Linked DNA regions of Neodiprion lecontei. The protein of the gene in region 1 purifies or fractionates together with the protein of each later gene. This does not show direct contact. Links are inferred from orthologs where the notes say so. Each region holds a gene or a part of one and is shown on either strand. Other genes may lie near its edges.

What was found. The genes of interacting proteins can lie anywhere in the genome.
Region 2: the proteins of histone acetyltransferase KAT8 (region 1) and male-specific lethal 3 homolog purify together in Homo sapiens (affinity purification with mass spectrometry; 4 studies listed by BioGRID and IntAct, with this or other methods). This does not show direct contact. The link is inferred for Neodiprion lecontei from reciprocal best matches to the Homo sapiens genes KAT8 and MSL3.

Annotation. Positions count from the first base shown.
Region 1 is NC_060260.1:7,854,696-7,860,829, forward strand, and holds histone acetyltransferase KAT8, read left to right. Parts: upstream 1-1,888; 5' UTR 1,889-2,394; coding exon 2,395-2,581; intron 2,582-2,842; coding exon 2,843-3,102; intron 3,103-3,194; coding exon 3,195-3,285; intron 3,286-3,457; coding exon 3,458-3,585; intron 3,586-3,883; coding exon 3,884-4,114; intron 4,115-4,203; coding exon 4,204-4,448; intron 4,449-4,551; coding exon 4,552-4,771; 3' UTR 4,772-5,607; downstream 5,608-6,134. Other genes in the region: D-amino-acid oxidase, read right to left, coding at 5,662-5,772, 6,100-6,134.
Region 2 is NC_060263.1:31,054,403-31,060,212, reverse strand, and holds male-specific lethal 3 homolog, read left to right. Parts: upstream 1-1,708; 5' UTR 1,709-1,825; coding exon 1,826-1,927; intron 1,928-2,066; exon of another isoform or gene 2,067-2,208; coding exon of another isoform or gene 2,209-2,310; intron 2,311-2,390; coding exon 2,391-2,459; intron 2,460-2,651; coding exon 2,652-2,761; intron 2,762-2,973; coding exon 2,974-3,154; intron 3,155-3,356; coding exon 3,357-3,542; intron 3,543-3,656; coding exon 3,657-3,961; intron 3,962-4,102; coding exon 4,103-4,324; intron 4,325-4,485; coding exon 4,486-4,679; intron 4,680-4,838; coding exon 4,839-4,923; intron 4,924-5,013; coding exon 5,014-5,101; 3' UTR 5,102-5,294; downstream 5,295-5,810. Other genes in the region: protein TEX261, read right to left, coding at 81-302, 430-509, 877-946; ATP synthase subunit O, mitochondrial, read right to left, coding at 5,403-5,810. UniProt on the Homo sapiens protein: Non-catalytic component of the MSL histone acetyltransferase complex, a multiprotein complex that mediates the majority of histone H4 acetylation at 'Lys-16' (H4K16ac), an epigenetic mark that prevents chromatin compaction.

The DNA of each region.
Region 1 (6,134 bases):
AAAGATTAATAACAAAAAAAAAAAAAAAAACCGCGAAATTATTATAGCATACGAAGTATAAATTGCATTTATCCCTTCCACCTCAGATTGTTAATACACGTGTTTTTTTCAACGTGGGTTTCATCATTTAGGCACATACATATTTACTCACAAAAATAAAAATCCTCCCGGCGAACAACCAGACGTGTCCGGATGATCTCTTAAATAAGCTGTAAAAACAAATTCAGCAATTTTTCTTCATTTTCTTTCTTCCCAACAATATTTCCCACCCTCTTTCCACCATCTCATTTATCATTGATCTACACTGTACGTACATTATTATTGTTACTATAATTATGATCGCGAATTTCCGACTTCGAAAAATTTATCGCCTCTTCTTTACACAAAATTGTAATATCATCTCTAAAGTAGACACGTTGAATGCTCAATGAAAATTAGCCATAATCTGTAAAATTTGATTAAGAAATTAAAGACTTTCGAAACAAGCCCCGACATTGTGGTATTTACTCGTTGGAATCTCAAGGCATTGTTTGAAAAGTATTCTTGCAAATCGATTTGATAATAAACAAATGTGGGACCTAACTCATACGGTATATTATAATCATTAGAAAACCAAGTCAGCTGTAGATGCGGTACGACACATAAATATAAATGATAAACGTGTTTCGTATTTCGTCACACGTTTGTGGTGACCTCGCGTAGGTATACCAGTAATTGGATTAGCCTCTATTCAGAGTGTGTAAAAAGCTCCACGTATGCGTACAGGGGGTATGTAAGAATTGGATTATTAGTTTCGGAAGATATCAACGCGTCGTTTTATCCGTACGCGCGTCATTGGGAACGCGGCTGATTGGCATTACAATTGAAGCCGTTTTTCGTCCCGAATATCAAACAGGAGATGAAAAAGTTGTACGAGATTCCATTCGACGATCGATCTCGACTCTGAACTCCCTCCACGAGAATGAGAATCTTCGTTTCTACGTACCGTGCGTATTACGGCGTGCGATTATGGTCAGCTTTATCGTTTTCGAGTAACGATAATAGTTACAAGAATATACCTACGTATATGTAGGTACAGAAAGGGTCGAAAAAAAAGACGCCTGATTCGGACAAAAGAACGTCTACGTAAGACCGAGATGCATCGCGTGCGAGGTTCATGCATGACTATCACAATTTAACGCACGTGAACAAACGGCGTTGACTATCTTGTAATATTGCAGGTGCGGTGCATTATACGCACGCACAAGTTGTAGCATGAAAAAATTGAAAAGGGTTTCGGGGGGGGGGGGGGGGGGAAGACTCACCTTTTCTTACGCAGCTAAATATCTTGTAAAAATCAATAGAATCGGCGGTAGACATTATAAAACTTGACTGCAATCACACCTAAACACAACGGTGTATGAACCAGCACGCGCACATGTCACTTTAGGATTTACCAGGATTTAGTATTCAATTGTGAATTCTGATGCACAAACCGTCTCACGCGTCGTCGTTGATAACCGAACGGTAGATTATATGTACATGTATGCGTAGCGGTGCATCAATCTCACAGAATCCCGTACACTAAACCACACCTCCGCTTCTCAATGTTCTTTACTCACTGCCTACACGGCTACACCACCACCACCACCTGTCTCTCTGTCATTCGAATATTCAATAGCTCGGAACAAGGACGGAACATGCGTCGTGACGTCAGCCAACCTCTCGGCAACCGGCAACGGCGACTGAAGATATACGACTGTCGTTTGTTACAGTGCGACATTAGCGGCCGAATTTTAAACTATGTGTTCGATTCTGCGACGGTGGCCAGTTTTCGACCGAAACTGGCGCTCTCTGGCGCGAACGAGGTTGTCGGAACTAATATTGGTGGTAGTGTAGTGTCGGTACCGTCGGTAACCACGGTAATCGACTCCTATTTCCATCAAGAAAGCAGTGTGAACAGTGGAGAGCGAATTGAGGATTGGAAATTACTCATCAGCGAATGACTCTGGCCTTTGAAGCGTTTGCTGAGGATACATATCCTTAGTCAACGGTTGAAGTTTGCTGATGTTTGCCATTTGTTCATTCTCAAACCTCAACTCCTACTATAATCATTCGCCATTTTAAATGCGCTCTGCATTATACGCTGCTTTCATTATGGCAAATGCGGGTCGGTCTCGAGCCGAAGATTTCCAACATGCGCTTACGATCGAGGACAATCGAAAATCAGTCCTAAATATTGTAAAAATCTATATGGCGGCAGATAGCGCTAATACTAAAGAAACACGGAAAATATACAAGTTTTCTGTCCGTCCTTTCGTCTCTAATTTTTTCGATGACACTGGTGGCACTAGTAATGGTGGCGCCAGCTCCAGGAGTCTTGTTTTACTGTTGAATTCGTGAATTGTTATTAAAATGGCGGACACTGACCACAAGGGTAAAGATAGTTCGAGCGCGAAAGAATCGGGGGTAAAGCCGGAAAATCGTGAGAACAATTCAACGAACGGTGGTAAAGGATCTGGTGATGACGCGGATAGTCTCGAGGAGCAGCCCTTGGACATCGGGGAACACTACTTGGTCCGTAGGTCGGATGATTCATGGCGTGAGTACTTCAGATTGTGAAGTAGGTTATAACAGGAGGACTATAACGCGTCTTCGGACTATGCTCCGGACGCCAGACGTACGATCAGCACATATCAGACAACATGCATCTACGTGTGTCCGGACTTTTGGCATATTTTGTTCTACCTATACTTGCGAAAAGTTGAATTTCACTTTCAGGCGTTCAAATAGTGTTTACTTACATTGGTAAACAAAAGCTACAATCGTCACGTTTCATTCAACACTAACGGCACAATTACAGATCCGGCGGAAATCATTCAAACGAGATATAATGAGGGGGAAGGCCATTATGAATACTACGTGCACTATGAAGGATATAATAGAAGATTGGACGAGTGGGTACCTAGAGACAGGATAATGTCTAGCAGATTTGACATGAGCGATCAGAGCTGGAAGAATAGCGACAGGAATCCAGCTAGTGATTTGTTAGCAGATTCATCGGACAGGAAAATAACGCGAAATCAGAAGAGGCGACACGACGAAATAAATCATATACAGAAAGTGGGTATAGCTGTTAATTTCATTTATTTAGCACAGAATGAACTATTTAGTGGAAGATATTATCGGCTCTGTAATGCCCATGTATATAATAGACCTACGCAGAAATGGATCCAACTACTGCTGCCTTGGAGAAAGAACATGAGGCCATAACGAAAGTGAAATATATTGACAGGATACAAATAGGTCAGCTTTAAATGTTACTTTACAAAATATTTGTAGATTTTTGTAAATTATTCGTAAAACAATAGAAAACTTAACATTTCATAAAATCTCCTCAGCTTATGTTTATAAGTACTTTAATGGAATTTTTTCTTGTGCCTTACCTCTATTGTTATGCTGAAACTCATTTTTTCAGGGCGATATGAAATAGACACGTGGTACTTCAGCCCATACCCTGAAGAATATGGTAAACAGCCAAAGTTATGGATATGTGAATACTGTCTGAAATATATGAGGCTCGAGAAAACTTACAGATACCACATGGTAATTAATCTAATTTAGTTGAAATTCATTGAACATGTATGCACACAACGTTAAAACTTCTAAAGTCAATGTGAGAAAGTGCTTTTCAAAAAATGCCTCTATTGTCAGATTATAATTCTCCGAAATACAATCAGCCATCAATCATAACGTCAGTCATACTAATTTTACAACTCTCTTGAAAACTACCTGATTCTAAATTTACCAAACACTGTTTTAAAAATATACTTTGTTACGCTAACGTTACCACGTTCAACGTTGCGTGCACAGTTTGCATATTTACATTTTAATTGATTTTCAGAGCGAATGTACTCACAGGCAGCCTGTTGGCAAAGAAATATATCGCAAAGGTACTCTGAGTATCTGGGAGGTTGATGGAAGAGAGCACAAGATATACTGCCAGAATCTCTGTTTGTTGGCCAAATTATTTCTGGATCACAAAACATTGTATTTCGATGTTGAGCCTTTTCTATTCTATATTCTCTGCGAAGTGGATAAACATGGAGCTCATTTAGTTGGTTACTTTTCGAAGGTATTAATTCTCAAACAAAAATATTATTTTTACCACAGTGAAGTCAGCTTCGCTTGTCCTCTAGCAATAAAACAAAAACTTTCATTCAGGAAAAAGAATCGCCGGATGGAAATAATGTTGCTTGCATTCTAACTCTGCCCCCGTTTCAACGACAAGGATATGGGAAGCTGCTCATCGCATTCAGTTATGAATTGAGCAGGATCGAGCAAACTGTTGGAAGCCCCGAAAAGCCTCTCAGTGATTTAGGAAAGCTTTCGTACAGGAGCTACTGGAGTTGGATTCTCCTGGAGATATTAAGAGATTTCAGAGGAACACTCAGCATCAAAGATTTGAGGTATAAAATTTACATTTTATATTTTATTAGTTTATGTCGATTTGCTTAATACTTGAAATCTAAGTGTAACTTATAGTGAATGAAACACATAATATTGTTACAGTCAAATGACTAGCATCTCACAGACTGACATTATTTCAACACTCCAAAGCATGAATATGGTGAAGTACTGGAAAGGACAGCACGTAATTTGCGTGACCCCAAAATTGGTTGAAGAACATATCAAAAGCAGCCAGTTTAAGCGACCTCGTTTGACAGTTGACTCGAGCTCCCTACGATGGGGGGCACCACCGCGTAAAAATATAAAACCAGGAAAGAAATGAATACAGTTGACGGCAAATTACGATAGTCGAACTAAAATTAACAATAGCACTATCATCCTGGTACATAAATTATTTTGTTCCGTATCATGAGAGTGTTACAGCATTTGAGGATGATTCAATTTATCAGCTGTAATTTATCAACAAACAAAATCTATGTGTATCAACGAACATTACATTTTTTATTTATGTAATAGTTGATATATCCATTAGTTTGCTACGGAATTATGTCGACTTTGTGCAGTTGAGTCAGATCACTGAAAATCGGCAAGATAGTTCAAATTGCTACCTCTAAATTACATACTGAAGCGTTGAGAGAGTATGAATGACGAATGTACGAAAGTAAAAAGGGAAACATGTAATTTACTATATGAATATATTACGATACATTTTGTGCGATTTGATTGTATCAGTGTTATCGCTGTACGTTAAAGAATTTCCTAATTATTTCATGCCCGTAGTTTGTTGCGTGAAAACTTCGTTACTGTGTATTAAAAAATTGTGGTAAAGTGCAGTTTATGTGAAGAAATTTATAGATCTTAATGGAAAAAATGCAACAAATTTCAAGTAAGGAAAATTCATTTCCTGTATCGTTGTAATATTATATTTTACCCATGAACTCTATGTGTATAATTTTAAGTTATATCTAGTTTTTGTATTTAGATCATAGACATGAAGGAAAAACAATTTACCATCGTATACGCTTATTATTGTTAAACATACATAGTACACACTTTAGAGTTAGGGTTGAGAATTACATTCGAAAAAGCCACATAGTATTGTGTGATTCTTATATATTTTTTGTAGAACAATTATTATTAAAATTAACAATGAACCGACACTAATTCTACTTCATAAAATCCTGTCCATTGTTATTTATTGAAGCATACAATTTAGAGCTTTGACGAAGATATTTGAAATTCCTTTGCCCAATGAACAGCATATTTAGCTGTACCCGGTGCAGTGCACACACCGTACCCTCCATGACCATAGTTATGAACCACCTGAACAGTTCATATTGAAATATTTAATAATTTCACAACTCGTAATTGGGATCCAAGATAAGTACGGGACTGAGCGATATATGGCTGTCAAAATCAGAAATTCGGCATATTATGGGAACACCGAAGCGTAGAACGAAGTACTTCATTCCAGCTATTATTAGTTTTTGGTTTAGTGTGTAAAGTAAACCGCACTACAAAAAAGTGTAATGACTTTCTACGTGTAGCAGATCGAGTCACTTAATATATTGGATTCCAATTCCTGAATTTCCGAATTTATTTATGATTTCGTTACTTCAAAAAGAAATACGTTTGTTACTGGGTACCCACTTTCATTTTCCCGTAACTCGGACTTTGTTCTGGTT
Region 2 (5,810 bases), on another chromosome or scaffold:
CCTCATTGAAATTACATAAGATTTAACCCACGTTGTAAGAAATAATAGATTCTTGCAAGACCATTAATCGAATTGCATACCTCTGAAAAACTGTAGTGGACAGATGCAAAGTATGTGAATGCCAGGTAATGGTTAACCACTAGCATGATTATCGAGATGATGAACAGTGGCGAGATGATCTGGACGTACGGAAACGTTTTTAGTATACAGAAGTGTGCTACTTGGGCGATGATTCCACATATTACCATACTCGTTGGCAGGTTTTCAAATAATAAGAACCCAATATGAATTCCGAATGTGACCTAAAATTTCACCAAATTCCACAAATTATAATGTAATAAACGAAACAAATGCTCTGACTGATTTCTCTAAGGAATCGCAGATTAGGCTGCTCAAAAAGTTTATTACGAAAATGCATCCGCAACTTACAAGTATGACACCTCTTATTATTTTTTTGGACAGAACGGTATATTCCTCAACTAATTCCGCTAAATAGTACAATCCGGCAGCTGAAAAATATTGAAATGCATTATTAGACTTTAGAAAAACTTTGAATTCTTTAAATACTTATTCTGTACCTAATAAATTAAAAGTTACGTAATTTATGTAATATTTATTTAGGCTTTGTACAGATTCTAAAACTGTATGACTAATTTGAAATCCCATTTTTGGTTAATAGAAATGAATCAGGCAGTAGCTGAATTATTCGGTCAGGTAGTTTGTTTAAAAATATATTTTAGAATCAGTTAATCTGCCTGACTTTGTCAGTAGAATGATAGCAAATTTGAAATAAACCTTGGGACCCCGGTTAACCTCTTTATTCACAGTACAGCAAAATAAACATAAGTTATAAAAAATACGCATCTAACACAGTACCTGTGGAAATCGTAACAAAACATATTTGTACGAATAAGGAAACCCAACTTAACACGTAAAAGAACCACATTTTAGAATTCGTTCAACTGCACAGACAATAATGCATCTTTTACATTCCATAAGAATGGATTTACATGATAATTTATAGAAGATTTACACCCTGTCACCCTCTATCTAAAGCCTTAACCACGGTATAATAATGTAGGAGGTGCTTCCACGTGTAAAGCTCTGTGATTATTTGACAAGGTCTCCTGGCTCTCCGCCAGGCGTCTCATGTGACGAAAAGCCAGAATATAAACAATAATGGCGTTGCTTTCCTGAATGCTTTGCACGTTTCACGTATATGCTTAGTTGTCACGATGCAAGAATAAGAAAACATGAAGAGAACGCATTTTTCCTATATCTATAATTCGTGCCTGATGGCAATTTTATTTCGGCTCACGGAATGTTTATTTGTTCAGGCACAATTCACAATTGCCCCGTTTGCCCGTTACTACGTTGACTCGATGACTGAAGCAACGGTTATTACAATACAATGTAATGGGAAAGTGCTAATGTGTACTCTACGCCAACACGGGTGTCGGCATTTAGAAACACTGGTATTGTTGTTTGGCATTTCCAAAGACGACAGTTTATTTAAAAAGTGTTCTTGACGGATTGCATGTGACATTAACCGTTGCTTTAACTTTTGCGTGAATACAAACTGTTCCGAAATATGCTTGAAATTTTCGCGGGTGGTGGCTCTTACCCGCATGCGACACCTACAGACTACTTTAGTGAAATAATCACAGCGTCCAGCGCGAGTCGGATCACCTCTTTACAACCGAAAGCTGTATGACTAGCGAAGAATTTCTGCAGGCATATATGAAAGAATGGGAATCACTGACAATCAGCATCAACGAAACTTGAGAACCTCGGCGGACGCTTCAAGTCGCACTGTGAGTCGACGATGGTGTCAACAAGAGGTCCTAGGTTCAAATTTTCTGACGGTGAAAAAGTGTTGTGTTATGAACCAGATCCAACAAAGGCTAAAGTCCTCTACGACTCGAAGGTATCAACAGATGAGATTATTATTCATGCCTTAGTTTGAACGGAAAAAAAAGCACGAAAGTTTTGTTATTCTGCCTAAGTACAACCTCTATTTAGAGCAGGGTGACAATATTTGACATTGAACATCAGCAGGATGAATAATAGGGTGACAAATATTTAAGCTCGGCCTTACTTCCTTCACTATTGGACACTGCGACACCAACATCGAGTATTTGTTTATTTATGATAGCAGTGCCAGAACGATAATCTCTCATTGTATGGGACAATTTAGTTTGAGTTCAGATGATTGTTAACATATGTGGGTTGCCAGGTTTTGACTATTCTAATATTCTGAAATTCGATAATCTAATTACATGTGGCATTACATACACTATTGTCAAATTGGTAATTTGGAGATGATATACTGATTATTTAATCCTGCTTGATTAACAGCAATTACTTTTAATCGAACATTTTTGTCTCAGGTGTTAGATGTGATCGTCAATAAAGATCAACGAGGTCGCAAAGCAGTAGAATATCTGGTACATTTTCAGGTAATGAAAAAATACATCTTTATAGATGTAATTACTGACTGGCTATTATTCAATTTCATCTTAACTGAAAGGATTAATTACACCAGATGTTCAACATTCATTAGTGAAATAAAGATTCTTATTTCAAAATCAATTACCTATATATCTGAGTTTGAATACTGATTGTATGAATAAAAGTTATTCTTAAAATAGGGATGGAATTCGTCTTGGGATCGATGCGTCACAGAAGAATATGTTCTGAAGGATACGGAAGAAAATCGCCAGCTACAGAGAGACCTTGCCCAAAAAGCCCAACTTCAACTGTGAGAACAAAGTTAATAAGTCTGTTACCAAAAAAAGTTCAGCAAAAACTTATCACTTTTTAGGAAGAGTTAACTGTAAGCAATATCAAAATGACCTAATCTAACGATCTGGTGTACCTTTGAATGTGAATGAAGTAATCTATTTTTTGGACAGGAACATCTAATTTTGAATGTATTTGGCTTTTACTTGACTAAAAACTTATGTTTCAAAGAGGTGCATATCTGTACCGAAGAGAGCGCAAAAAACGCAGCCACAAACTGTCGGAACGTTCAGTAGGATCGGGACCGGAGCCTGGGCGCAGGGCCAGGAGTGGCGGTAGCCGTGCGACATCAGCAACTACCGGATCTTCCGAAGATGGCAGTTCTGGTCAACACGATGATTATGATACCGAAGTATGACGTGTATTATACTATTCGCCACCTTTACCCTCTGCCCATACAACACACAAAATTTTAACTGTTTTTTATCGACATTAGTCGAAAACTTAAATCCCTGTATATTTTTTCATTGGCTTTACGTTAGCCTGGACTTTGGAGCTCTATATTACGAGTTATTCAATTTACAATTATAATCACTCTGTTTGTTTTTCAATAGGAGGCTGCAACAGAGGAAGATACAGAAAGTAGTTCGGAGTATGGTGATGACAGTAGCGGAGGCGATGAAAGTGGAGGTGGAAGTCACTCTGGTGGAAGTCATCGACCAGGAATAGATCTTGATATTGGTGCTACCTTGAAACGCTTATTAGAACAAGATCATGATCTCATAACTCATAAAAATAAGGTATGTCTCGTATACAGCTAGTTGTTGACATTTCGTTAAGTTTCCTTGATCATAGGTAATTTAACGATTTTATTTAGCCTCACTGTTTTGATTAAATTTACACATATTTTTCAGATTGCTGTATTGCCAGCTCAGCCAACAGTATTAAATATTTTGGAAACATGGGTGCAACACTTTACTACTACCCAGTTAACAAATATTTCCGACAAACCCCAACGAAACAAATCAAATCATACCATTGAAAAAAGTGTTAGCGATGTTAATATCTCTAGAGAAGTCGCAGACGGATTGAGGATTTACTTTGACTTTACATTAGCTGACCTTCTGTTGTATAGAGAAGAAAAGGAACAGTACGAAAGCTTTCGATCATCCTATCAATACGTTGATCTTGCACCTCCTCTTAAAGAAGAGTCCTTTGAGTACGTATGTGTTATTAAATTTACATGTGCGGTTTCAATAGGGTGACTCGCATTAATTGCAATGTTTTCCAGTAACTGCCGATTTGCCCACATCAGATATTTATATCTATTACTTGACTAGTAGTTCACTTTGTGTTCCAGTAATGCAGATCAGAATGTCACAATCAAAGAAGAACTTGAAGATACAGAATTTGCTCATTTACCACCGTTCAGAGAGCATGAATCTGAACTTGACAACTCATCACCCAAACCGCCTGTCGAGTCTAAGCGTAGATTGCGATCCTGTAGAGTGAGCTCTATGGATGAAGGAAGACAACTTCGCTCTTATGATGAAGTTAAACAAGAACCAGGCAATTTGTCGAGGTGCTGCAGTTAATTTCCCTTCGCCATTGCCAAATTTAACAATGTATGATATACAATGTATTAGTCAAGTTCCTAAGAAGCTGCATATTGTTGAAATTGCCCATTTCTCTTTGACAATGGAATTCATCAAAAAATTAAAAAAATTCTTTTTCTCACCCTAGCATAGCTAGTACAAGCTCACGATGTTCTAGTCCTCGTGGCTTGCCTTTAAGACTACCAATAATTCCGTCAGCGCAAATTGGCGCTTTACTTCAACAATCAAATGCGTGGCGCTTAGTACCTGAATCTGCGAAGCGTCAAAGTCCTTTGGCTCCATCTATGTATTATGGTGCGATTCATCTGACACGACTTTTTGGTATGTATCTATCTCTGTCCGCTGTTGTACTATGAACTAAAATCGTATTCACTGCATATTGACATAAAGACTGCTTCGTACCGAATGGAGTGTAAAATGGTAATACTAAACATATTAGGTATATACTTTTTTTTATAAATTTAATTCGTTTCATTCCAGTGAAACTGCCTGACTTATTACAAGCTGCGGACATGCCTGAAAAAAAACTGAAGACACTTTTGAAGCACTTAGATATGTTTCTAAGGTAAGTGTATAGATTTGCAATAGAGATGTAGATACGTAGCAAAAATTTAGTTCGTAATGGTCCTTCAATGAATCCTTTTGAAAATTGCAGTTTCCTGGAAATGCATCGAGAATGGTTCGGTGAACAATTTTACACACAAGCAGAGAATGTACCCCTGCAACAGACTGTGAATTTATAGTGGCCCAAGAAAATTTGAAAGATATAAATCTACTTTAATTTTCTACAACTTTTTTAAAAATATAATCTAACCTCCAGTATGACATATACCTGCGAAACTGAATGGTGACTCTAATTAGGAAATTTGAGGTACTATTCACTATTGTTAACGTATCAACCAATGCAAAATAAATTTTATCAACACTCCGGGTATCATATCGTTAACTTGTTTCATTTATTGCGATTAACCGTATTGTACAACATAGTTGTATTCAACTACACGAAGAGAAGACGTTTATGGCCCAAATAGGGTCAGGAGATGATTACACAGCAGCCCTGATGATGTCAGAATATTTTTTAACTTTGCTGGCAACACTCATGTCGACATATTTGTCTCCAATAGAAACAACCATGCCTCCAATAATGGCTGGATCAAGTTTAGTTGTAAGAAGAATGGTCTGTCCCTGTTTGAGGAATCCTTTAAGAGTGGCTTCCAATTTGTTCTTGGTCTCTGCGTCTAATGGCTTCGCAGTGGTAACTTCGCAGACTACCTCTCCTCGGTTTGCTGCCATGATAACTTTGAAGGCATGGACAACCCCATTAATGTTCTTCAGGCGCCCATTCTCCGCAAGTAAAGATAATAAATTGGTGGTGGCCTGGTTTAGACTAGCTTTAGTACCAACAGCCTTCAGAGCATCGACCTTAATACTACGCTTGATAGTTGGGTCCTT